Styela clava: one gene and its partners. The protein of the gene in region 3 interacts with the protein of the main gene of each other region in a biochemical or structural test. Links are inferred from orthologs where the notes say so. Each region holds a gene or a part of one and is shown on either strand. Other genes may lie near its edges. The genes, in order: programmed cell death protein 6-like, protein transport protein Sec31A-like and kelch-like protein 12.

Evidence for each region.
Region 1: the proteins of kelch-like protein 12 (region 3) and programmed cell death protein 6-like form a complex in vitro, tested with the Homo sapiens proteins (2 studies listed by BioGRID). The link is inferred for Styela clava from reciprocal best matches to the Homo sapiens genes KLHL12 and PDCD6.
Region 2: of the proteins of kelch-like protein 12 (region 3) and protein transport protein Sec31A-like, one has a biochemical effect on the other in vitro, tested with the Homo sapiens proteins (3 studies listed by BioGRID, with this or other methods). The link is inferred for Styela clava from reciprocal best matches to the Homo sapiens genes KLHL12 and SEC31A.

The regions. Positions count from the first base shown.
Region 1 is NC_135264.1:18,522,860-18,531,116, forward strand, and holds programmed cell death protein 6-like, read left to right. Parts: upstream 1-5,272; 5' UTR 5,273-5,391; coding exon 5,392-5,825; intron 5,826-6,836; coding exon 6,837-7,041; 3' UTR 7,042-7,458; downstream 7,459-8,257. Other genes in the region: tyrosine-protein kinase CSK-like, read left to right, coding at 137-332, 1,110-1,196, 1,503-1,688. UniProt on the Homo sapiens protein: Calcium sensor that plays a key role in processes such as endoplasmic reticulum (ER)-Golgi vesicular transport, endosomal biogenesis or membrane repair.
Region 2 is NC_135260.1:9,045,284-9,053,509, reverse strand, and holds the start of protein transport protein Sec31A-like, read left to right. Parts: upstream 1-4,469; 5' UTR 4,470-4,606; coding exon 4,607-4,812; intron 4,813-5,366; coding exon 5,367-5,574; intron 5,575-8,226. Other genes in the region: uncharacterized protein LOC120347212, read right to left, coding at 1-73, 390-477, 829-954, 1,024-1,188, 1,501-1,710, 2,263-2,337. UniProt on the Homo sapiens protein: Component of the coat protein complex II (COPII) which promotes the formation of transport vesicles from the endoplasmic reticulum (ER).
Region 3 is NC_135254.1:16,144,081-16,152,528, reverse strand, and holds kelch-like protein 12, read right to left. Parts: upstream 3,355-8,448; 5' UTR 3,346-3,354; coding exon 1,606-3,345; 3' UTR 1,220-1,605; downstream 1-1,219. Other genes in the region: EKC/KEOPS complex subunit TPRKB-like, read right to left, coding at 3,952-4,461. UniProt on the Homo sapiens protein: Substrate-specific adapter of a BCR (BTB-CUL3-RBX1) E3 ubiquitin ligase complex that acts as a negative regulator of Wnt signaling pathway and ER-Golgi transport.

The DNA of each region.
Region 1 (8,257 bases), on a different chromosome or scaffold from region 3:
CTTTGTGTTAAATTCTCTTGTTTGTCAATTTTTAATGAATCCAGGTTCTTGAACTCATGTTCATGTCCATAAATATGTTTTCAATAATACCTAAACTATATTGTAGCTTCATGTGAATAAGTTTTGTATTTCCCAGCGATGTAGCATGCGGGATGGCGTATTTAGAAGAAAAGAAACTCGTTCATCGCGATCTGGCAGCTCGAAACATTCTTGTATCAGAAGATGGAAGCGCAAAGGTGTCGGATTTTGGGCTTGCCAGAGATGAGCAGGCGAATTTACAAGGAGGAAAGTTTCCTGTGAAATGGACTGCACCTGAGGCCCTCAAGCAATCAGTGAGTAGAAATTACAGCCAGAGTTAGGATTTTATTTGTAACCTGAAGAAAGGAAGGATATGATTTACATATTTATTCTAGAGAGAGGAAGGTTGATAAGACGGTTCACTCATAAGGCGTACCAACGCTTCTCGTTCCGTTACCAGTCCATGGTAGATATGGGGCTAGTTGGCCAGGTATTCGTTTCAGATGCATGGACTTTATGGTGGAGGAAGCATGAGCTACGGTGGCGAAGAATCCAGCAATCTTTTCGCACATAATTATCTCTGCATGGGATGCGAACATGTACAGGGTAATCAGAGGTACGGTGCCAAGCATATTCCTAATGGCTAGCATGATGCACCACACTGCTGATCCTGAGGTAGCAGGCAGGACGCAGTGGTACTCAAATTTTCATGATTTCTTTGCAAAGACTCGCTGGTGGCTCTGCTTTTTCGTATAAAGACCTTGTTTTGTTTCTTAGAGAAATTTCCATTTAATTTCTCATGTTCCTTATTAAAAAGTCAAGAATTGAAAAACAAATGCGTTACAATTAAAGAATTAAATAAATCAGTCAGTCTACTTCAAATTAATGGAGTCTCAGCAAATGGTACCTAGTTGAAGGACTTTTCTTGTGATCACCAAAGAATCTCCTGTGGGCCGCTAGGGGGCTGGCAGCCTAGTTTAGGAAACCCGGTAGATGCCGAACAAAAAATTGGGACAAATTTTGAGTGGAAAAATGAGATGGATGGTTTCTTGTTTGACTGATCAGATTTATACATTCATGCTTTGTTTCAGAAATTTTCAAATAAATCAGACGTGTGGAGCTACGGTGTCATGCTGTGGGAGATCTGGTCGTTTGGGAGAGTTCCGTATCCCAGAGTGGTGAGTATTATGAACGTATACAAATCCTGCAGTGAAAGACTGATTCGTTGCAATAGAAATAAAAAGAAAGGTTTGAAATAATCCATGAATTTTTTCAGTTCATTCAATTTTCATCTCTTCGCTGGCAAGCACTCCACTCAATTCAAGCAGTTAATTTGAAAATAAATAGATTTCTTAGGATTATCACTTGGATTGAACACATTGATTTATTTCCTATTCAGGACATTGGGCCTTTTTAGGAGTACCATTTGCCCCACTCTATCCGAACCGTATTGCTTTATTTACTTATTCAATTTCTAATTTCAGCCTCTCAAGGATGTTTTGAGCAAAGTCATGGATGGATATCGCATGGACAAGCCGGACCGGTGCCCGGAGGAAATTTATTGTCTCATGAAGAAATGTTGGGACATCAACCCCGACACCAGAATTTCATTTGTGGAAGTCATAGCTGAATTAGACAAAATCAAGAAAGGCCCTTTAACCCAGTCATGACCGATGGTGACCTGAAAATTTGGCCCAATGTGACCTCATAAAGTCATGAGCCGCTCTAGATTTTATGAAATTCCATTTGAGATTATGAACTTTAGTTACCCATGTTTTTGCCTCGCATTATAAGATCATGTACCTGTTACAATGAACTATAGTAACCTAACACCCAGAAACTGTCTTCAAGTGAACCCTGATTTAGGGTCAAATCAGGTCACAGGTTTGGAACAGCGTAACCCATGGCTGTCAGGTCCGCTTATCTCCCAGGGAAAGAGCATATATGTTCTTAATAATGGTTACCTACCCATTTCCTACTCCTTAATTGCTTATTCTCATTAATTTTAATCACCAGTGAGTAGCTAGCCAAACTTTTCTTCTGCCCAGGGTGAGTTTCTCATAGTGACTGATGTCCCTTATGCATAACTTCAAATACAATTCTGGGGATGAGAAAATTATAGATATTGTTATACACAAGAATGAAAAGCATGTGTAATACCTCGAACTCTACGTTCGGATCTGCTGCTACATCTTGCTGTTCCTATGGCCCCTACCTGACTGGGCATTTGGGAATGCCATGAACTTTATTGAACCCATCATTGACCTATAGTAACCCCACATTATTGACCAAATCATATGAATCTATATTATTAACATTTCTTGTCATAATGTCTATTAATCATTTTTTTCTGTAATTTTATTATAATTATTATTTTTTGTGGGGGTGCACATCAATCCGAAAGCATTCACTTCAAGATGTGAAAACTATAGGAATGAGCATTTTTCATTACCAGTTTTTTCAAACTGAAAGTTGTTAGCCTTCTTAGATGTGGTTAGCACTATGGCTTTTTAATACTAGTTTTTCCGAAGCAAGGAGCTCAGCCTCCAACTAAAAGTGGAAAGAATATTTACAAAAATTTTAAATGCGGCCGCTGAACGGCTGAATGCTATATAGTTCTCTTATTTTCATTTGAACATAATTCTTTGTTCTTGAGGTGCAATTGTTAGAAAAATTTTGATGTTTTAAACATGGCTGAAGCCTACGTTTAAGATTTATCTAGTAATAATGTAATTGTTCCATATAATGAAATAACTTTGTGTGATTATGCCATTTTATCATGTTTTATTAACAATTGATTTTGTTTTGTGTGTTTGTTGTGGGCAGCTTTGATTTTGCTAGGAGAATCGAATTTTCCCAAAATCCTAATTAGGACTGATTACTTGAAATATATATTGATCCTAATTAGGACTGATTACTCAAAATTTTTATTACGGCTTCCTCCACCATCAAGCCCATGTATCTGTAACAAATAACTGAATAACTAATCCCATACTCGACATGGACTATTTACTGTATAAGAATTTCCTCTCCCTCTGGTTAATATGTAAATGCTATCCTGTATTAATATGTATCAATATTTTATTTGTTAGAGTAGCGTGTACCCTAACTAACTACCTTTATCATTGCAAGAATAGATATGGTTGAGTGTTTTAGAAAGTCTCAACTCCAGTTGTTCTCATTGACCTCCTTACAAAGAGTCTAAACACTCCATGGCCCCCGTTTTCTTTCAAATTACCTAGTTTTGCTTCGATAGCTTTCCCATTGAACTGTGTTTACTAATAATATGTTTTTGTTGAAAGACTTGTCAAAGCATTGCTTGAAAATTAATCTTTCATAGTGGCAACCTGTAGATTTGTTTCTCAGAACCAAATTTTTTCATGAAAGAGATTTTCTTATAAAATCTTTCACTTCCCAAATCGTCTGTTGGAGTAAACGGAATAGTCGCGATAATTCTCACACATCAGTGACTGACTTACCTGAGACTAGTTCACAGTGGAAAACGCCTCATGAAAAGACTCTGTACTACTTATGTTTGAATAATTCTGGCAACTCACAGTTCTTTCATGAAGAACCACTTCTAGGGAGTCAAAGGCCCTTTATGGGGAACTTACCCTAGAATATTCTGTTCTGTTTTAACTCTTGTGTATCCTGTCTCATGCCGCAATCAATTATCTGATCACACTGCAAGCAATAACACTTCTATGGCGTTGTTGTTTTTGTCATTTATATATTTAGCCAAACATGCGTTTTAAAGCATTATAGCAGGGCTCCTCAACCTGACCAGGGTAAAAACGAGAATCAATATCTGTTACACGAATAAGCTATCGCTTTCATTTTAAAGCAAAATGACTTGTATAGATTTCAATATTGTTGCGATTGTAATGCCTCGTGAGTCTCAACACAGAGATGACCGTCTGTTTTTTTTGTAAAACTTTGCTTTTGTTTTGTTTCGCCTCTAACTTACTAAACTAATCAATCCCTAACAATTCAACAATGATATTAATTCTGCCATGGCCCTCCTCGCCAAACACAAACTTCGGGAGGGTTGAGATTACCGTTGGATTTGCAGAAGGGGTGGATAAAGGTTGAGAACCCCAGAGTTGTTGTCCTTTGACCACATTCCTTTTCATATGCAATGCTGTGGCAATCTGGAATTCCAGCCCGAAACAATTTCTAAGAAAAAATATTTTTGATTGCTAAACTTTTTATTGGAATAATCTGGCGAATATTGCTCCAAACATTGATGTTTAAAAGCATATATTTCTTCGATATTTTTAAATTCAAACTTTCGCACTTTTGTCCCAATACCCTCTATATCAGTTTGATTCGGGTTGAATTTGACACACGTTTAGATGCAATTTTCGATTGGATAATTCACAATCAGACAACAACCTGCAAGTGATGTGACCGAGGACTATTATGCCTCCCATATTAAGTATATATTTGCTGGGCCAAGCTTCCTATTTATATGCCCAAATATTTTATGTGTGATGTTGCTGGCACAATATCTTAATTATTATTCAGCGACCGTAAATAAATGTTCATCATATATGATCTGCCGGACTGAAAGTGAGTACGTGAGGTGGGAGGAGTCTGGGAAATAACATAAGAGGTGGAAATAATCAGGAAAGTGTGAACATGGGGAGAAAGGAGTCTGTAGGTGAATACACTAGGTGGTAGGAATCTGGGAAAATAATATGGGAAGAGTCTGGAAAATCAATAAGGGAGGCGGGAATTCAAGAATTCTTAATTTCTCTTACTCGGGATATATATGTAAATCCTATCTCAATAAATGACGAAGGTGAAGATTCAGTCCATGGGTGTGCAAAAAGTTTTGCCGGAAGGCTATATTATAACCAATTTCAGGCATCTCGCTGGGCATAACGAAATACCGTAAGTTAGTAATTAAGGCAGTGACAAGAGCAAAGAACATTATGTACTTTAACCATGTGAGCGCCTTTTTTAACACAAATTGTCAGATTATGATTTTATGCTTGATGCAAAAATTCTGAGTCACAAGGGCCACATAAAATTGTTTCAAATCGCGAAAATATTTGTCACGGAACCACAAAATCTACTCACGTGACTTTTCGGGTTGGGTGCCTCTTCTCGGTAAAGTAGTTGCCAGATTGATATTGGGGGGTTTAGCGCTATGAAATTATTTAAAGCTAAGTCTGTAAGTTTACAGTTATTCAGTTATTTATGCATTTTGCTGAATACAGACTACCGGTATGAGTTATCAGTCTGTAATTACAGAATTAAGTGGATCAGCCTTATTCATTATCTGCCAAATTAACAAATAGCTCGCTTTTTTACCTCTGTGTTTTTCAGCTCAATCTAGTCTTAAAAGCTACAGAACTGAGAGAAACAATGGCTTACCAGTATAACCAGCCTGGAGGTTATCAGCAGCAGCAAGGGTACCAGCAGCAGAACTATCACCCCCAGCAAGGTTACCAAGCACCTGGTGGTTATGGCCAACCTCCCCCTCACCAACAAATCCCTGGAGTTGATTTATGGGGAATTTTCACTCGTGTAGATCGAGATAGGAGCGGTCAGATCTCGACAAGAGAGCTTCAAGAAGCTTTGTCTAACGGAACTTGGCAGCCATTCAACCCCGAGACAGTTCGGTTGATGATTGGAATGTTCGACACTGACCACAGCGGTTCAATTAATTTTCAAGAGTTTGCAGGATTGTGGAAATACGTCACAGATTGGCAGAATACGTTTAAAAGTTACGATCGAGATAATTCTGGATCGATTGATAAAAGGGAATTACAAACTGCATTGACTTCGTTTGGATACAGGTAAGTCGAGATTGAGTGTTTCATTGCAAATTACTGGTTTGGCCGGGAACAGAGGGTAGGGTGGTGGGGTCTGGTATAGTTTAGTACCACATCCACTTTTAGTTGGCCTGGCTCAACAATTTTTGCATATGTCAATCCTAACCCCCACCTGACTACGTCACCGAAAAATTATGTCATTCCGACGTCACAGTGGCATAATAAGGCTCACCGAAGTATGCGGATGGTCGTACAAAACGCGCAGACGATAACCCGAAATCGAGCAAGCTATTTTTCTTGTTGCAACGATCACGATAGGAGAGAGATTGTCGGCTTTAGCAAGTTCTTATCGGCGGCGCAGATGCCATTTCGGGCGATCGTAATTATACTTTGGCAATCCCTATGACGTGATGGTGACGTCGTAGTGACGTAATTTTTGTTTGGCATAGTCAGGTGAGGGTTAGGAATAACATATGCTAAAAACGTTTTGCTACGCCCACTGGAAGTACTTGTGGTACTAAACTATACTAGACCCGGGTGGTGCAGCCAGTCTGCGAACCCCTATAAAAAATAAACTAATATTTCTAATCAGTTAACTCGTCTAAATATAAACAAAGCACCGCATCGTTTAACTTATGATTTTGACTTCCAGTCTCCATGACAGCTGTTTGAAAATAATAATAAAGAAATACATCTGGTTTTGTATGGCATTTGTTATTGCTTGGTATGGCAAATATCTGTGGTGATTATGTAGGTTAAATACAAGATTATTATTTTCAAACAAATCCTAAGGCGACAGAATCATAACTCGAATTGTCTCACGGTAGGATGACGAACCTGTGAACCACTGATAAGAGCAGATGGTTATTAGATGTAACGCAGTAAATATTTGGGCCCAGGACTAGAGAGTCGGAATCAGACTTTGATTGAATTGAAGTCAAGCCGGGGTTGTTTTTTTATAAATTCCCTTGAGACAAATGAGACAAAAGTTTTGGCATCCAAATTTTAGGCTTCTAATTCTGATTTTCATTCCAGATTGTCGGATAGATTCTACGACCTGTTGGTCAGAAAGTTTGATCGTCAGGGCCGAGGAACGATTGCATTCGATGATTTCATCCAGTGCTGCGTCGTTCTGCAAACTTTAACAAAGTCCTTCAGTGCTAAAGATACCAGCAGAAACGGGATGATTCAAGTATCGTACGAAGAATTTCTCTCCATGGTGTTCAGTGTTAGGTCATAACTCAAAACCTTTAATTGATATGTATCCACCTATTATTGTATTAGTTTACCGAATGTCCAATTTCTGGGAATCCTAGTTCTTCTTAATTCGAGAAAATATTATTTTCATTTCTGTGATGAATAATTATATTGAGGACATTGATTCAATACTGCAGGTTTATTCAACAAGACAATCAGACAGGTGTTTCACGCCGTATTATTCGCCTTTTCCATGTGGTGAAACCTGGCGACCCTTATTTTGAATACCTTGTTTGTTGGGGTTAGAAATAAATTGAACAGAATTCAAACTTTCATAAAATTTCACTCCGATTTGTCATGGTTCTCAAACTTTCATGCCCTTCTGAAGTCTTCAACACTTTTCCAACTCTCACAAAAATAACAAGTTTGGTTTTTAATAACATGTTTTCATTGACCATGTTACCCATGTATAATAATAAAAAAAACAAGAACTGCATCACAGGCAATTTACTTCAAATGAATGTATTGCTAATGATATCTGATTAGCGGTTCTACTCTCTGGGCCCCTAGGGTCGATGGCCTAGTTTGAGAAACCATGCCATGGACTTTATTTATCTGAAAAAGAACATTTATGAAAGTTGGTTTTTAACATTTCCATTCAATTCATTATGCAGTGGAATTGTTAGATTTTTAGAGAAACATTTTGATGTGAATGTTTATTCATCCAAGTCTAAATTATTGCAAATTTATTCGGTACAATGTTATGTATTTATATTCACTTCATAGTGAGTTCATGTAGCCTTGCTTTGAACAAACATCAAAGACCATGTGTCAGAAATGAATAACTGGTTGTAATAATAATGTTCACGTACACAACATGGACTTGGAATGGGACGAGAGGCCCCAGTTATCAATATGTCTTATAGGCTTTTCTCTCCCCTCGATTTGAAATCTTATACTTCTTATTCTAAATATTCATGGAAGAGATTATTGCGCTCTTCTAAAATAGTGCTCTGATTTTTTTATTGAATGATACATACATTTGCTTTGATGTGATGAAATAACCAGTTTTTGTGACATAACTCGTTAATAATTGGTATTTAAATTAAATTTAGAGCTCTGTATTGCGTGGAGCATTAAATACCTGGCACTGACCAAGAGAATTATGATCAAAGAATTTTCCTATCCGACTTTGATAAAATGTTATGTTGAGTCACAATACATATTTGTATCCTGCTTTATGATGTAATATTAGATAT
Region 2 (8,226 bases), on a different chromosome or scaffold from region 3:
TCACTCATTATAGCTGGAGCGTATTTTGATTTTCCAACCATGGACATGAGAAATCCGAGTACTGCAAAGACGCCTGTAATATTGATTCCCATTAATATATTTCCGTTCGCACTAACTAAACTTGGCCGTAAAGTTTACACAGCTACTATTCAATTACTGGAAGCTCTTATTAGTTTGAAACTTGCTATAATATTTGTTCCCTCATATGAAATTGTGGCGCTAGACATAACTGTATGGTTAACAATCCCAAGGCGTGAGAGCTATATATATGTTAGAATAGTCGACCACTTGTCCGATAATGGCATTTGTTGTCAGAGGCCTGTATATATATAAAATTTTGCATTCTGTTCACGTCTGTACAACCAGGAAATAAAGTTTCATCAAAATACCTGTCAGGCAATACAGCACAGCTGCGATGATGGGTTTCAAAATTAATCTGCATCCAGCTGGAGGAGGATCATACATCATTCCCATTGTCTGAAATATAAATAATCTGACAGTGTACGAATGTATCGCTTTGAATTATCCTTTCTGTCCACGAGTACCCATACTTTTAAATGTAAAGTAAATTTTTATATTATCACAATAATTTTCTTTCGAATCAATCGAGACGATTACACCTGGGTTATTAGCATATTTGTAAAAAATTAATATGCCATTTGTATATGTATTTGGTTTTGATAGACAAGAAAAAAACGATCTGAGCTTTCAAAACTATTGACCAAAAATCAGTATGACGATTCAGAATGCTTATCTTGTTGCAAACATTTAATCAGAACATGTACTCAACATATACAAAGCGTTTTTCAATATTTATTACTAGTTTACCATTAACACTGCAGGTATGAACGTTATGAGGTGGAGCGTGGCCATCAATTGCATGGTTTTAGTCGAACTCCAGAAGCATACATTGGGATCCTCCCCGCAGTCTCCTTCCAAACATTCCTTCTCGATCTGAAATATAACTATATTGTTACACCATATTCAATCAATCGAGCTTCAAATAATAGCCTACTTACTTACCTTTGCAAATGACATGCAATTACCAGTTCTGTTTGCTGGACGAATAATTTCACAAATTTCGGTGTTCTTAATTCCAAAGAAGGACACTGCAGAATTGGTCGCTTCATCTGTAGCCTTCAATAACTCCTGGATATCAGTTCGATCGATGAACTCACTAGATTTTACCTGATTTATAAGAAATATTTTGGTGATTCTACTAACTGAAGTGTATGCTGAGGTTGGCCATGTCCTATATGGGTAACTAATTGTTTATGACTCGGATTGTAATGTAGAACTGGAATAATTTCTGCTGATGCAAACCAAAGAAGATCCTTGATGTTGTCAGCCACTACATAAAAATCATCTAGTCTACATGACTACTTAGAATGCCCAGTCACAGTGCGTGAGTATGATGTCATATTCAGGCCTATTGTAAAAAAAATCATTTCTGAAACCAATAAGAAAACCAATTTTTAGTATATAGTAAGATGTTCTAACCGACTCGAAGCTCTTCATCTCGTCTGTAATATAGCTTTCTCGAAACAAGGGGTAATGAGGGTTGCATATCAATGGTTTCTCTATTCGATCCGGATCGGAGATATCCAGGGTGATGGGTCCCTGAAGTAACATTTCGTGAGGAACTACAACTTGAAGTTGAAACGTCGACAATGTTGCCAACACCAGTACAAGGACGTAGATATGGATCAACTGAAAGAATACAATAATAAATCAGTTGAATAATGAATACCTACCGGGTCACCTCTATATCCTTTTATTTCTTCTTGTATTACCGTGTTTCCCCGAAAATAAGACCTACCCTGAAAATAAGACCGAGCTAGAATTTTAAAAAAGATTTTAAAATAAGACCTCTCTCCTACACATTTTAAATTATCCATAATCTATGTTTTGCAGTTATTTTGACTAAAAACGTGCCATGGATATCGCTTCTCATATTTTGTATGTTTGAAAATCTCGTAATTCCCTACTTTATAATTTTTGATAAATGAAAATAACACATCCCCGGAAAATAAACCCTAGTGTTGTTTTTCGAACATAAAAATTGAAATAAGACCCAGTCTTATTTTGGGGAAACACGGTACATATGTAATAATTTGAGGACATAACTAATACAAACGTTACAGAAATCTCAGATGGCTCCGTATAAGAGACCCATGAAACGTTATACTTTATTTTGGGAATATTTTAATATAAATTTGTTCCATTGTTCCAAAAGCACACAAGAACGCCAAATTGACTCACGAGAATAAAGCTTCCATATGCGTCGATTTTATGTTTCGTTGGAATAGGCTTCTTGCCGCCATCTTCTTCAGCCATTATTGCTTTTAGTTCAATAGGGCGATGAAGCCCCGTCACCTTGGTTTGGGAAACGGCAAGCAGCGACGAAGGCTCACGAGAAAAGACGTCATAAAGAACCCTTTGTGTCGACATAAACATAAACTCGTCAAATTGATGATGTCACAATGTTATACATAAAAAATCAAATGCGCATGTGGGCGCTACAGAGTCGTGTATTTACGTTCATGTTACTGACGTGTCCACGAGTTCGCTTGAAACAAGGCTGCCACGAAAAGTGCCAGTGTTTTGTTTTATTATATCGGTATTGCAGAGCGTAATACGGCAATGGGGGATGAGGTACTTACAGTTTTCTTTTTTAAAGTGATGGAATGGACATATGACAAACGGATAACGTATTTGGACATACAAACATACGAGAAATGAATAACGTATGTTACGGTGATTTGCTTTGTGATTGTTCGCATGCTTGTTTTTACAGGCTTACGGTATGTCAGTACTGCAGTATGTATTTTTTGTCATATTATATTATCTCAAAAAAAGTTCTTCACTCCTTCCAGCCCTCCCTTGGTTGTAGCCATCTCAAAAGTTGAGAAGATCCGTAAATGTTTATAGATATGCTGATATACCGGTACCGGGGCGGTGCAGATATAGGCCTAATGGATATAAGACAAAACTAATTTTATAATGGAAAAATGGCATGACTATAAATTCATATTACAGTATTATGTTTAAAAATTATCGACTTTGTACTGATATTAAACTGTGAAAGGTCCATCTAACACCGGTGTCTTCTTTCATCTTTGCTAATTAAACGCGATGTCATGGACACAATGATTTTGGTATTCTTTCACGCCCGCGTCAATTGCGGAAATATTGTATCCTTGTTTCAATTGATATTATTGTTATCATTTTTTTTATTACTTATGTTGGTACAATATTTCATGCACGACTGGAATAAAGTATCTGAATCTATCAGCATTTTGTGATCAATTAAGTTGATTAACTGAGTTCTTTATTACTTATCGATCTTCAGATCGGTAAGTATGTTGATAGGTATTTGTCTGTTAGATGCACTCGATATCTCACGAAGGCGAGGTTGAATCTGCTCCAAATTTGTGCATTCATCATATCTCGGACCAGAAGCCTATTGATTTTAGATGAATTATGTCGTATAATTAGCGAGTTATTAATTAATTAGTGATGGGATACGCGGTGTCACTATGGAGTCATGATATAATATTTATGTATCACAATTTTCAACATTTTAACTATTGGGGACTATATTAACTACGTATATTTGATATTTGCTTCATTGGAAGAATTCATACTCACAATCCAATATGGTAATTGTTGAAAGATGTATGTGCCAATTTTTAGACAACACTATAATTTATGTCAAATTTACATATAGTATAGTATTAAAATAGTAAAATGAATCACGAAAAAGTTAAATTTTAAATATCTATCCATTGATAAAGAGGTCTCTCTCTGTCTATCATCTGCCTTGTTGCAATTTTAACATTGGGAGCCAGTGGAATGTAAATAACATTTGTTGTCTGCTATTGAGATGAGAACATAATTATTTAGTCTATTATTTCTTACTGCAAAGTGGTCTCAATTGCGTATATATGATTATTAATTTTTCGAAGTTTTATCTTCACTTTGTGGCGAATTTTGACTCCCCATAGCAGATAAATGTGTTTAATTACATGAAGGGTTACTTTTGATACGATTTGAAAAAAAGGGCATCATCTGTGAGAGCTATTCAACTACGTTAATTAAGTTGTATAGACAGTAGGACACAGTTCCCTGATTCCAAGATGTTTCGACATTTTATTCAATGAAACACACTCTATTTGTCTCTGAAACAAGGATGTATGCATCAGATTGCACCATGATTGTCTCAGTAATCATTCAAGTCAATCGCTGTCAATCTGTCATGTAATCAAAATTGCGTTTTTTTGCTAATAACTTAAATGCTGCGGTGACTTTTTTTTCTTTAATAAATTGGATCATTTTTTTCAAAGAATCCAATAGTGACGTTTTTTAATTGCAATTTCTTTTAGTTTATTACGCAGTGCAGGCTTGTCAATTTGTACTGATATAGAGCTTTTATTGACCAACTCAGTGTAGTACTAAAATATATTTAATGTCCAATTTTTATAATGGTATACTTGTTAGTTGCAGGATTACAATATCCTATTAAAATCAACTGTGGCCTATCCACACAACACAGCATAAATACCCTGTCTGTATAGATTTTGCTTCGGGATAGAAAATATCGAAAATGGTGAAAGTGAAGCAAGTAAATGTAACAGCAAATTATGCATGGAGTCCAGCAGAATTGCACCCAATACAGCTCGCAACTGCCACTGCTGCTCAACAGCTTGATGCAACATTCAGTACGTCTGCGAATTTGTCTCTGTATTCAGTAGATTTGGCAGATTCTTCTAAGGAATTAAAGCTTGCTGGACAAGTTGACATCCCCACCAGGTTCGTTTATATTTTACATTTGTCTTCACATCATTTAACAGTTATAATTTAACTTACCGTTAGTTTTATTTCAATATTGCCTATGGGATTCTAACTTTATAACTAACGTTATTTTTTGCATTAGATGTGTTTCTTGTTAAGTATGCTTCTTATTGGGTAATCGTTGGTCCAGAATGTTGACAATTACGCTAATTTGTTGCAATCGGTTTTACCTGATGTACAATATTACAATTTTATTATTACTTATCGATCTTAAGATCGGTGAGTATGTTGATAGGTATTTGTCTGTTTGTTTGTTTGTCTGTTAGATGTTCGCGATATCTTACGAAAGCGAGGTGGAATCTGCTCCAAATTTTGCATGTGCATTCATCATAGCTCGGATCAGAAGCCTATTGATTTTCGATGAATTATGTCATATAATTAGCGAGTTATTAATTAATTAGGGATGGGACACACGGTGTCACTATGGAGTAAGAGCGCTGTTTTGGGGGAACCCCTAACTTTCGATCGATAAGTCTTCGGTCTCTGACTGATATTCTCATTACTGTTTTAAGATTCTATAAAGTGATATGGGGAAACACTGGGTATGAATCATCAACTGGCGAGAGCAAAGGTCTCATCGTTTGTGGTGCTGATAACGGACTTATCAATATTTATGATCCAACCAAATTGATAGATAATACTGATAGTGAGGCTGCATTGGTAAATACCAACAACAAGCATACAGGACCAGTCAAAGCTTTGGACTTCAATCCATTTCAGGTTCATTTTTTTCAATTGCTGCTCCTTATAATAAATAATCTACTTAACAGAACAGTACTATTTTAGGCGAAAAGTTTCTAATGTTGTTTTCTTGGTAATAAGGTAACTTCTGTGAGCCTTGCCAGTTATTTTGGTATTAAACAATATATTTCATCAGGGCTATGAAGTTGTGAGTAAAAAATTCGATTCCATTGGAGTCTGGGATTTCAGACTTTTGATGGGGGTAAAAGAAGAATTTTTCAAATAAACTCAAAAGGCATAAGTTCGCTAAACCTTTTTAATGATAATTCGACAAAAGGCCTTCCGGAAGGTCTTTTGGCCTTCCGGGCGGCCCTTTCAATCAAATAGTTTTAAAACCTGATATTGTGTAATTCGATTTTGAATTTTCTTTAGCTTATGCCTTATGGTCAGGGATGGCCAATACCGAATAGTTCACTATTTCGAATACATTCGAAATTAATTTTTTCGAATATGAAATTTCGAATACTTCGAAAATAAAATCCACTAATTGAAGCTTATCTAAATGTATGTAGGAATTTCCATACAATAAGCAATGGAATAACTACTATCTACAAGTTACAACCTAGCTATATATATTACCAGGCATTTCATATTTGCAGATTATTGCAGTATATATTTTATATATATATATATACCATGAATCATGTTAACAGAATTAAATTAATACGGCAATAGTGGTATCGATGATGGATTTGAATATTTGCGCAACACAAAATCATCCTAGTAAAACGCCCATACTTTTAAATACCAACCATTGTCCAAATTATTTGCCAAAAAGCGGGATAAAGTATGAGTTATTTTTCCACTCGTGACAATTTTTTCGTGAGTACAAAAATACGAATCAAAAATTAATTATATTCGGGAACTTTACCACACATTTTAAGTCCGCAGATCGCCGTTGTATGTTTGATTGTTTGAGTAATAATACTGTTATTATTTTATAAATATGAAAATAGGAATCAAAAACTATTTATAATCGGGTAGTTTACCACACATTGTAAGTCCACAGATCGCCGTTGTATTTTGTAGATACGAAAATAGGAATCAAAAATTAATATTAATCGCGAGTTTGCCACACAATTTATGTCTACAGATTGTCGATACAACCATGAGTTACGTTGAACAAAATTAAATTAATACGGCATGACATTTTAAATGCTGGTACTAGTCATGGATTGGATTATTTTGCGCAACAAAAAATCATCCTGGTAAAGGATCGATACTTTTAACTATCGTTATCAAAATTATTTGCCGGCTATAAATACCGTATTTCCCGGCTAATAAGTCCACATGGCAAATAGGACGATGTCTATTTTTAGCACTCAAAAAGGGGGTTTTCATATAGGCCTCCAATAATACGGGTAGAAAAATTGTGTCCCTGTCGTTCAGTTATGCTGAATGCTGATACGCTCTAATAATTTTATATGTTTAGAACCAGATCATGTTAGTTTGGTAGAATCATACTCACAGAATTAACTATTTTTAACAATTGAGCGGTAAATTTAAGTTGTAAAGCAGCAATCATTTTGGACAACCTATTAACCCGAATGTTGAAATAATTTTGGAATGTGATAAGTACTACACTGTACGTGCACGGGTTATTTCGCAGCTGTGTTTTCCTGTCCCTGTCGTGTTCTGCTGAATCGGCAAAACGAAAGGGTCACAAATCACTTTATCTCGGTGGCCGTGTTTCTTTTTAAAGTAACCATAACCGACCTGCGATTAAATATCATGATTGATATAATAATAAGCGGGCCACATAGAAATAAAATTAACATACTTCCTCAAATGTGCAAATGTGTCGCAACACTATGCGACGTACGGTCGCACAGAATATAAACAAACAAAGTGCCGATTGTATTTCATCGTCATTACAATACGTGAGACAGTGTAAAAAGTCGTTTGAAGATTCCCGTAAAACGAAACACCACGTTTACGGCGAAAAGTGGCTACTATTCGGAATTATTCGAAAATCAGCCGAAAAGGTATTCGAATACTTTGATATTCGAATACATTCGAATATTCGATTCGTTTTGGACAACCCTGTTATGGTATTAATAAATTGCCAGTTACTCATGAACACAATCATGGGTTAGAATTTCTATAAAACATTTTAGTTTTTTATCACTGACCTATTTATTTTTAATAAAAATTTTAATTTTTTGAAAAATTTGAAAAAAATCAATTTTTTAAAACCCTCATTTCTCAGATAAAAATACCTTTGTGATCTAATTTTTTTCATGTTTATGAATTTCTTGTATCATGTTGTTGCACTAAAAAACTAAATTTGCTAACAGAAAAAAGCGTAAATACAATTTTTTTTGTAAATTATAAATTTTTCATCAGAAATTTCAAACGATCAGTTTTATAAGAGGGATTATTGTTTAACTATATTCAGTTAGGTACATATTTTTCTCTGAAAACCCAGAACACAAATACCTAATACCAAAAAAAACAACAAAAAGTAATCCTAACACAAACAATGTGATGGATGGTAGACCCTTTCAAAATTTTTCTTGAAGAGGGCCTTTCGGAAGGCCCTAAGATTCGGTATCTGGAAATCTTGAAAAACTTCTATTTTCAGTAATTAGAGAATGTACCACTATCAAATAAATAAGTAATATTATTTTA
Region 3 (8,448 bases):
ATCAGCAATAGACGATAAAAAAAAATAGATAAAAACAAAAGTAAAAGTAACTGATTATAGAATCGGGAAAGCGAACAAAACCTAGAGTAAGGTTTGAAACGTACAGATTTTAGATGGAAAGGTATTGATAAAAGAAGTAGTACGTGTTCGCTCACCAAAAAGTAAAAAAAAACTAATTAAGGCACGCACGCACACACACAATCATCGAGACATGATACTGTCGGAAGCGAAAAAAGCGAGACTTGAAAGTAAAAAGGAAGGAAAATATACAAACAAATAAAAAAAAATGAATAAATTCTTTTGCCACACCAAATTAATAATTTTATCAGGATTGCCAAATTGGATACCGAATTAGTCAACAAGAGTTAATGTATTGTGGATAGAAAAGTATTCCTCAAAAGATATCGTCAAGCTGATTATAATTGGAGTCACCTAATGCCAAATTGCCCAATCAGAATTGCCAAGTTGGATGTATGAAAAGGTGGGCTAGACCTGCTTCACTCATCAAATAGAAGCCACAACAAGCCAAATAACGTCCAAATTATTTTAAATACTATTAATCAATAACAGTACCGGTAATCATAATTAAAATTAATTAGGGCGGTATGATACAGAGGTAGGAAAATTGGTTAAGGGAATATATATGACTAGGCTAAAATTCATTACCGGTACTTTTATAAAACAAATTGTTGAATGGTATGAATTAGAATAATAGTTTGATACAAAAAACCCATTTTACAGGCAACAACTCGCGAAACCACTTTTAGAATAAGCACCGAAAATTTTGAAATGGTAAAGTACAGGAAGAATTTTCCGGGGTCAAAGGTCGGGGAAAGATCCATTCGGTGAAGCTGACATCGGTTTCTTGGCTACCAGTACCGGGCGAGTTAGATTTGACAATGAGGCAACATTGGACAAGTTCGGGCTTCTGTAGGGGTAAAAGCCCGCTATTGAATGCAGCTATGAAGTAACATATCAGATTCCTACCCACTACTTAGCAATAAAGGTTCTTCACTGCTAATTCCGTCTGCCGCGACTTGACTGTGCGAATCTGCTTTTGATCTTGTTACCATCCAATCAAAATCTAGAAACCGTCCTGATGTTGACAGTGACATTCGTCTGGCTGTATCAAAGACGGTCCCAAGCGCAAGATTCTCATTGATTATACTAGGTTTGCTTCTGCATTCAATAAAAGATCGGAAAAACATAATACAATCCAACACGTTTAATTTTAGAGGGGCTCACGAAAGGTTGGGAACCACTGTCCTAGACTTTGAGGCTTGTACACATCACTGTCGATTCTATTGCACAAATGAAATGATAAAGTCAACTTGGCATAAGTATGATGCTGTCGTTGTCTAAACCTGTCTATGATTTGATGAAGGAGAAAAAAATATGGTTTTCTGAATAAGAAAATGAACTCCGTTTTCAAAAATGTATGTAGCATTGTTTCAGACTTAACCAAATGAATCACCTATAAGTTAAAATATAAAAACGAAAATAAACTCTATTGCAGAATTAAGTTTTTCATAAATCTGGTACAAGTTGAGTAATTTTTTTGAACGAATTTCATGAAAAATTGTTAAGGTAACAGAAGATGATAGCTCAAGTCTTTTCTTTTATAACAGTAATGCCTGCATCACATCTATGTGTACTCATGTGTGTAACAACTTTCCAGTCATCCTTTTCTGGATCATATTGTTCAATTGAATTCAAAAGGTAATGTCCATCATAGCCAGCTACTGCATGGAGCTTACCTCTGAGCACACATGCATTAACATAACATCGAGGCACTGTCATTTGCTGTACTTCTGTCCAACAGTCTGTATGAACATTATAAGCCTCCACAGTGTCCAAATGAAAGTTTCCATTAAAACCACCCAGTACATATATAACATGATTTAGGTATGCAACACCTGCACCAGAACGTTTTGTATTCATCCGTGAAACCATTATCCATTTACCAACTTTCGGATCATACAACTCAACAGAACTGAGTATATCAACACCATCATATCCGCCTACACAATAGATGCAATCTCTTGCAGTTACCAATCCTGCACCTTCCCTTGCACAAGCCATATCTGGCAGCATTGTCCATTCATCTATACGTGGATCATATCTTTCTGCGCAAGAATGCCGGGAAGAGCCATCAAAACCACCAGCTACATAAATCAAGTTTCCTAAAACTGTAGCACCAGCCAGTCCACGTTTCATGTGCATAGGGGCAACTGAATACCATATTCCATCATCATCAGAAGAGTATTCAAGACATTCGACAGTATTAAGTCGTAAATGTGAATCATATCCTCCAATTACGTAAATCCTATTGTCAATAGTTACTGCAGAAACATATCGCCTACGCTTTGTGAATGAAGCAATTGTACCCCATTCCCCAGTTTTTGGATTGTATTTTTCAACAGTCGGAATCGGTGCTTGTTGACTTCCAAAACCTCCAAGAACGATTAAAACTTCAGAAGTGCCATATCTTGGCTGATTTGCTATACCTTGCATCTCAGCCCGGAGTTCCGGACGCAAATGAAACTTTTTCGCAGCATCAAGTAAATCTCGACATCGCAAGTTTGATTTTATCAATTCCTGTTCATCAAGTACATCTGTTATGAACTGCGCAGACAATAATGGTAATCTTACATATTCGAGCATATTTGATAACTTGGGGCCTCTTTCTTCTCTATTATGTGTTATCCAGTACATTAACGCTTCATATACATCTTCTTCTGAGTCGATTTCAAGTTCTGATGATTCAAGCAATTCAATAACGTCTGATTCATTCAATTCTAAAAATTCTTCATTTTCTATAACTTCCTTAAAATGCTTTAAAGTGAACTCCTCGGCACACTTGGCAAGATCTAAACATTGATGTGTACTCGCGAAAGATTTTATACTCAAACAATTAACAGGATCCAGTTGTGATTTCAAAAATGCGCAACATGCTTGTTCCACACCTTTTAACTGTAAAAGACAAGCTGCAGGAAGAAGGTCTTGAACATTATTTGTTGTGACTTTTACTGATTCAGTGTATACAAAATTCAATAAAATGATAACTGTGTTACTTGACATCCCTTTAATTTCAACAACGGATTGGTCCTTTTCTCTCATCCCAGTTGTAAACATAGCTCGAAAATAAGAAGATGATGCAGCTAGAACAACTCGATGAGCTGGCAGTTCAACATCTTGACACTTTATTGTGACATCACAAAGAACATTTTCAGATCGTAATTCGTTCATGGAATCAAGAATATTGTTGGCATGTCCACTAACCAACACCACCCTTTCAGTTGTATCTGACGCTGGTAAAACATCTTCATTGTCACTGCTGGACATTTTTAGAATTGAAATAATAAATTAATAATATTGCCTGGCAGGATAAAATAAAAAAGTTGTGAAAATTTTGTTACCAAAGATATTTTGAGAAGATTACATTATGCAATCCCTTAAGCAATCAATTAGGTCTTTAAATTCTAACGCACATGATGTTGAATTAAATAAGGATTAAGCAGATGTTGTTGTCAATGTTTAATGACGATAAAATATTGTGAAATCAACTACAACAAATTTCGACTATTTATATGCATGCACTAGAAAACTAATTGTTCGCCATATGGAATTAACACTAGCAACGACAGTATCTTAAATAGAAAAGAAAACTGAAAGAATTGCTGAGGAATCTGATCCAGAGTAGAGCGTTCTGCCAACATGTATTTCAAGTACTAGTAACAAATTATCACGAAAAATCTTGCGGAGACAAAATAATTGTGAAATTGATCTAAACTCAGCATGGTCATTAGATTCGTTGACCAATATTTCTATTGATACCATTCTTCAATGAGAAGCAGCACAAAGAATGCTATTTCAACAGAGTATTACATTTTGGTATGGTACCAAGTATTGACCAACTGAATCCTGGAATCTGTGGGTAAACAACATCGATCATTTCACATCTTTAGTAGCCATTCTAGTAACAACAGCTTCAACAGTTACTTCTTCATTTTGTTCGAGACGATAAATTTTCTTTATTCTCTCTACATCAATAATTTTTTCCAAGTTTTCCAAACCAACAATTTCACCATTTACAGATTCTGGAATTACTTTGGAATTCAAGTCATCCTTCAAAACTACTGCAATTATCTTCTTTGTCATTTCATTGATACCAAATGTCTTCAAACTTTCATTAATTTTATTTGTGGGTGATAAATTAAACAATATTTCCGAATATAGAGACTTTGTTTTCATACGTCCTAATTTCTGATAATACAACGCTTTATTGACTGCTGTCAATATATGAAATGAATCTAATATCAAAGAACCATCAATTAAACATCCTTGTAAAATTCCTTCAGTTGTTAATTCTTTTAGTTCCTTTGCGTTTGTGACATTTTGAAACAGTGAAATTTGAACACTTTGGTCAGGAAATAATGGCTTAAGATTAAAAGTCTGCATTTCACTGTGATTCGGAAATTACAAGTTAACAATCAAATATTCAAAAAACTGAAATGTTCTGAATATGGTCAGATAGTCAAAACACTAAAATCTTGAAATCTATATATTTACTGTAAGAAAATTTCACAAAGGATAAAATGCCTCCTCCAGTCCTTCCGGTACCTAAGGTGTTAGCAATTTTTATGTGCCACTAGACACACAGACACAGAAACTCCAATGAAAACAGTAGGCCACCAAGGGAAGCGGACAACTCGACTACACGGACAACTCACCAGAGACAACTCGACTACAGATGGGTCTGGTGGGTTGTCCGTCTTTCCGCCTTTTCTACGGCGACGTTTTAAGCCTATAACAATGTAATTTCGATATTTTTAGGGCTCCAATGTTGAGAAAAATACATTAATATTCTCAAGAAATAATTTTTATGTGTATAAATGATTTTGCTCAAGTTATATGAATACAGATACAGTCTACAGACGAAACTGGAGTACGGTGTCATTTTTTTGTGCATTTGATGTTTTTGTGACGACGAATAAATGATTGATTGATTGGTAACGGTACCAATAGCAAAGTTATACTGTTGACTTATAGGACTGTGTGCGTTTTAATTTTTGAAAGTTATTGATATTGAATGTTTTGAGTACGTACTTTTGAATATATTAAAACCTTCATACGTAGCAGGAAACAGTAACACATATATATTCATGAATGTGAGTTTCGTAGTCTATGATCACTTTAGTTTAGTGGTCACCCGTAGTCTAAACTCGACCGTATACCGGTATGGTCGTATCGTTATCAACCAGTCACATACCGAAAACTGCATAATGTGTTTTTTATTATTATTTGTTGTTGTATCATCATGTTTCCTAGTTTGACGAAAAAAAAAATATTTTCTCTCTCTCTCTCTCGCATTCGCTCGACTGATTCAACAGTTGAGCAAGCGCTCTGCGAAGTTATGCTGTCGATGCTCGAGAGGAAGACAACTCGACTACAGAGAGTTATCTGTGGATTCCCTTCTTCGTAGGACTTTTAAAACGTAGCCGTAGAAAATGCGAAAAGACCTTTGGACCTTTCCCCGACCTTTGACCTTTATTGTTATGATTTTGGTCGCTCAGACCAATGACATTAACCCTTTCCATGCGATTTTTATTTTTTATTAAATAATCGTATTTGCTACGCCGACTTTATGCATTTGTACCCCCACAACTAATCGATCGACTAACGAAAAAGTAATGATCCTCTGCTGCCCACTGACGGCTCGTTGGAAAGCTTATTTAAAGAGCTTGCAATTGGCGATTGAAAAATTTTTTTTTTTTTCAGAAGGGGTGGTCTGAGTCACAAACAGGATAGAAAAAAGACATTTTTTTTCTTGGGTGTTGAAACTTCAAGCCGTGATAAAAAATAGAAATATTCGCTAAATCCTTTACTGTTACCGCTTCTTGGTTGGCAAACAATAGCATAATATTACTGTAGCAATTTCGTTATCTAACTCAAAATACTTTGGTAGATGGAAGGGATAATATGTCTTCTATTACCACCCAAAAAACACCGAAATTTGCATAAATCAAAAACACTCCCTCGTTCCGCCGCAAATAAAACTCCCATGGTAAACGAAAGCGAGATTTACCGTCGCTTATGTTAATCTCGAAGAAGGCTTCTTATCAATAAACTAAAACCCGGAAAAACTAGACCAACAGTTTGCGACCGATTGCTAAATAAAACAGTGGAGTACATCAACGTACCCGCCGCAAACTAGCGAGTTTTGTCGTGGGTACGTATACGTGCCCACCGCACGGAAAGGGTTAAACAACATGATAGGCAACTCTGACGTCACTCCATAAGACTACAGGCAAAACATTGTATTTCATGATACGCTCCAATGCACATATTTCTCGTCGCCTTTCGCGTCCGTTTTCCATTTCGCATATAATTCTCACTGATTGTTGGCTGTTTATAATTCCTATTGATTGTGAATTCTGATTATAACAATGAGTTGAAAATTTTTTTACCTAATTTACTGGCACCTTTTTCTTGTCAATACTCCAAGCTGAGGTAATAAACATGACAATACATTTATGTCATCTGGAAGCAAAATATGCACACTAATTAATAGTTTGGCACATTGAGATAATACATCATGACAGAAAATACAAGTTAAAGATATGTATGACCATCACATGGTAATTAAAATTAAAAAAAATTAATAGGGGCTGTGGAGTATGGAAAGTTCAAGACAAAGAAAAGAACAAATGTTCATAGCTCATGAACTCTCAATTTTGCCTCCATTGCTTTGTGAAGGCCAATATATTTCAAGTGGCTGAATTGGTTTACCTTTATGATAGCAACGATTTTGTATTTAATATAGCGAGATTATTTCAATTTAATTGAAGTGATATAATTTCCCAAAGCAATGCTTGAATCGTCTAGAATAGATCAGTGGTGTCAAACTCATGGGTTTTCGAGAGCCGCATTGCATTTTGAAAATTGTAAAAAGAGCCGCAAACAGTTTTTGATAATGTATACTTAAAAGATATTTTTAAGATAGTTTTAGTTTGTGACATATATTGTGATGCAACTAAACAGTTGGATTAAGTTTTATTATTTTCTTCAATTTCAAATGCAATTACATATTAATATTTGCATTCCACTATTATTGCAACATTTGCAAGTTACAGTATTTATTATAAAAAATCGTAAAATTCTATGTAAAACCATCAAAATCATTTTTGAACAAGCTTTGAATAAGGAAAGAATAATACATACACTAAAAATAACTTAATCTAAATATATGAACCTAAAATTAACAAAATACTACAGTATAAACTCAATGTTTTAATAATTACATTTGTCCTGGCGTTTGGCATCTTTTTTTGTGTCACCAGCATACTAAGGTCAGTCTGAAATGATTTTATAGTACCAACTCTAACTAACGAGGCCACATGATCATGGGTTTATCTGGATCTTTACGAATGTTTAATTAATTCCAGTAATGCAAAAAAGTTATTTTTATCATTTCATGTATAGATCAGTAAAAAAACAAATGACAGATTTTTTCGACAAGACATTTCGCACTACATTGCGTGGCATAGGATTGCTCGAATTATTATTGATATTGATTTTTAGTAACTAAGTCGTTGTATAATTATATTAATATACAAACACATGGAAATTTTCTGTTCGAAGTTGGTCTTCGAATTTGTCATATTGACTGCTGAGCTTATTGTGTTTTTTGATTGTATTGACGGAAATATGACAAATTAAACAATGTGCTTCAGAATTTTGTGAAGAGCAGAAATGTTACAACTCCCATTTTCTTCGAAAATGCCACCTTCTTCATGTACTTTGCGTTTAATTTAATTACTCAAGTGTTTTATTCAAGTATTCTTTTGCTAGCTTGATGTGTATTCTTAATTGGGTCAAAATGTGGACAAAAAAATTAATATTCCAAAACTACTTTCAGTAAATTGTTTTCTGTGTGAATAATCAATTTCACTTTAGAAGGTTTGAAAAATCTATTACATTTAGATAAAAAAAAAAACTTTAAAAATACTATTACAATTATTGTTAAGCGTTCGAGGGCCGCACTGGAAGTTCTCTGGCCGCGAGTTTGAGATCCCTGGTCTAGATTGAAGTTGTTCAAAAAATATATGATAGTATTTTATCATGAATGATGATTATACCCCTTCCGGAATTTCTTCTATAGTACTACCAAAAGTTGATGAACCAAATATAACACAGGTGCAGTGAGGTACCCGTAATCCTCATTTCCAAAGCTGTTTTAAGTATGTCTGGCGTGTTTTGTGCCTTTTTACAAATAAGACCGCTTATGCATTCTTACGCTTTGGAATTTTTAGTTATTTTCCTCAAGCCCTGCAGGATGTGGGGGCCATACACAACTCTACCGGAGGGTCAAATGGGTTTGCATGCCTCCATAGGTTGTTTTTCTATTGCAATTTTCTATTTTCAATTGCATTATATTTCTTGGAA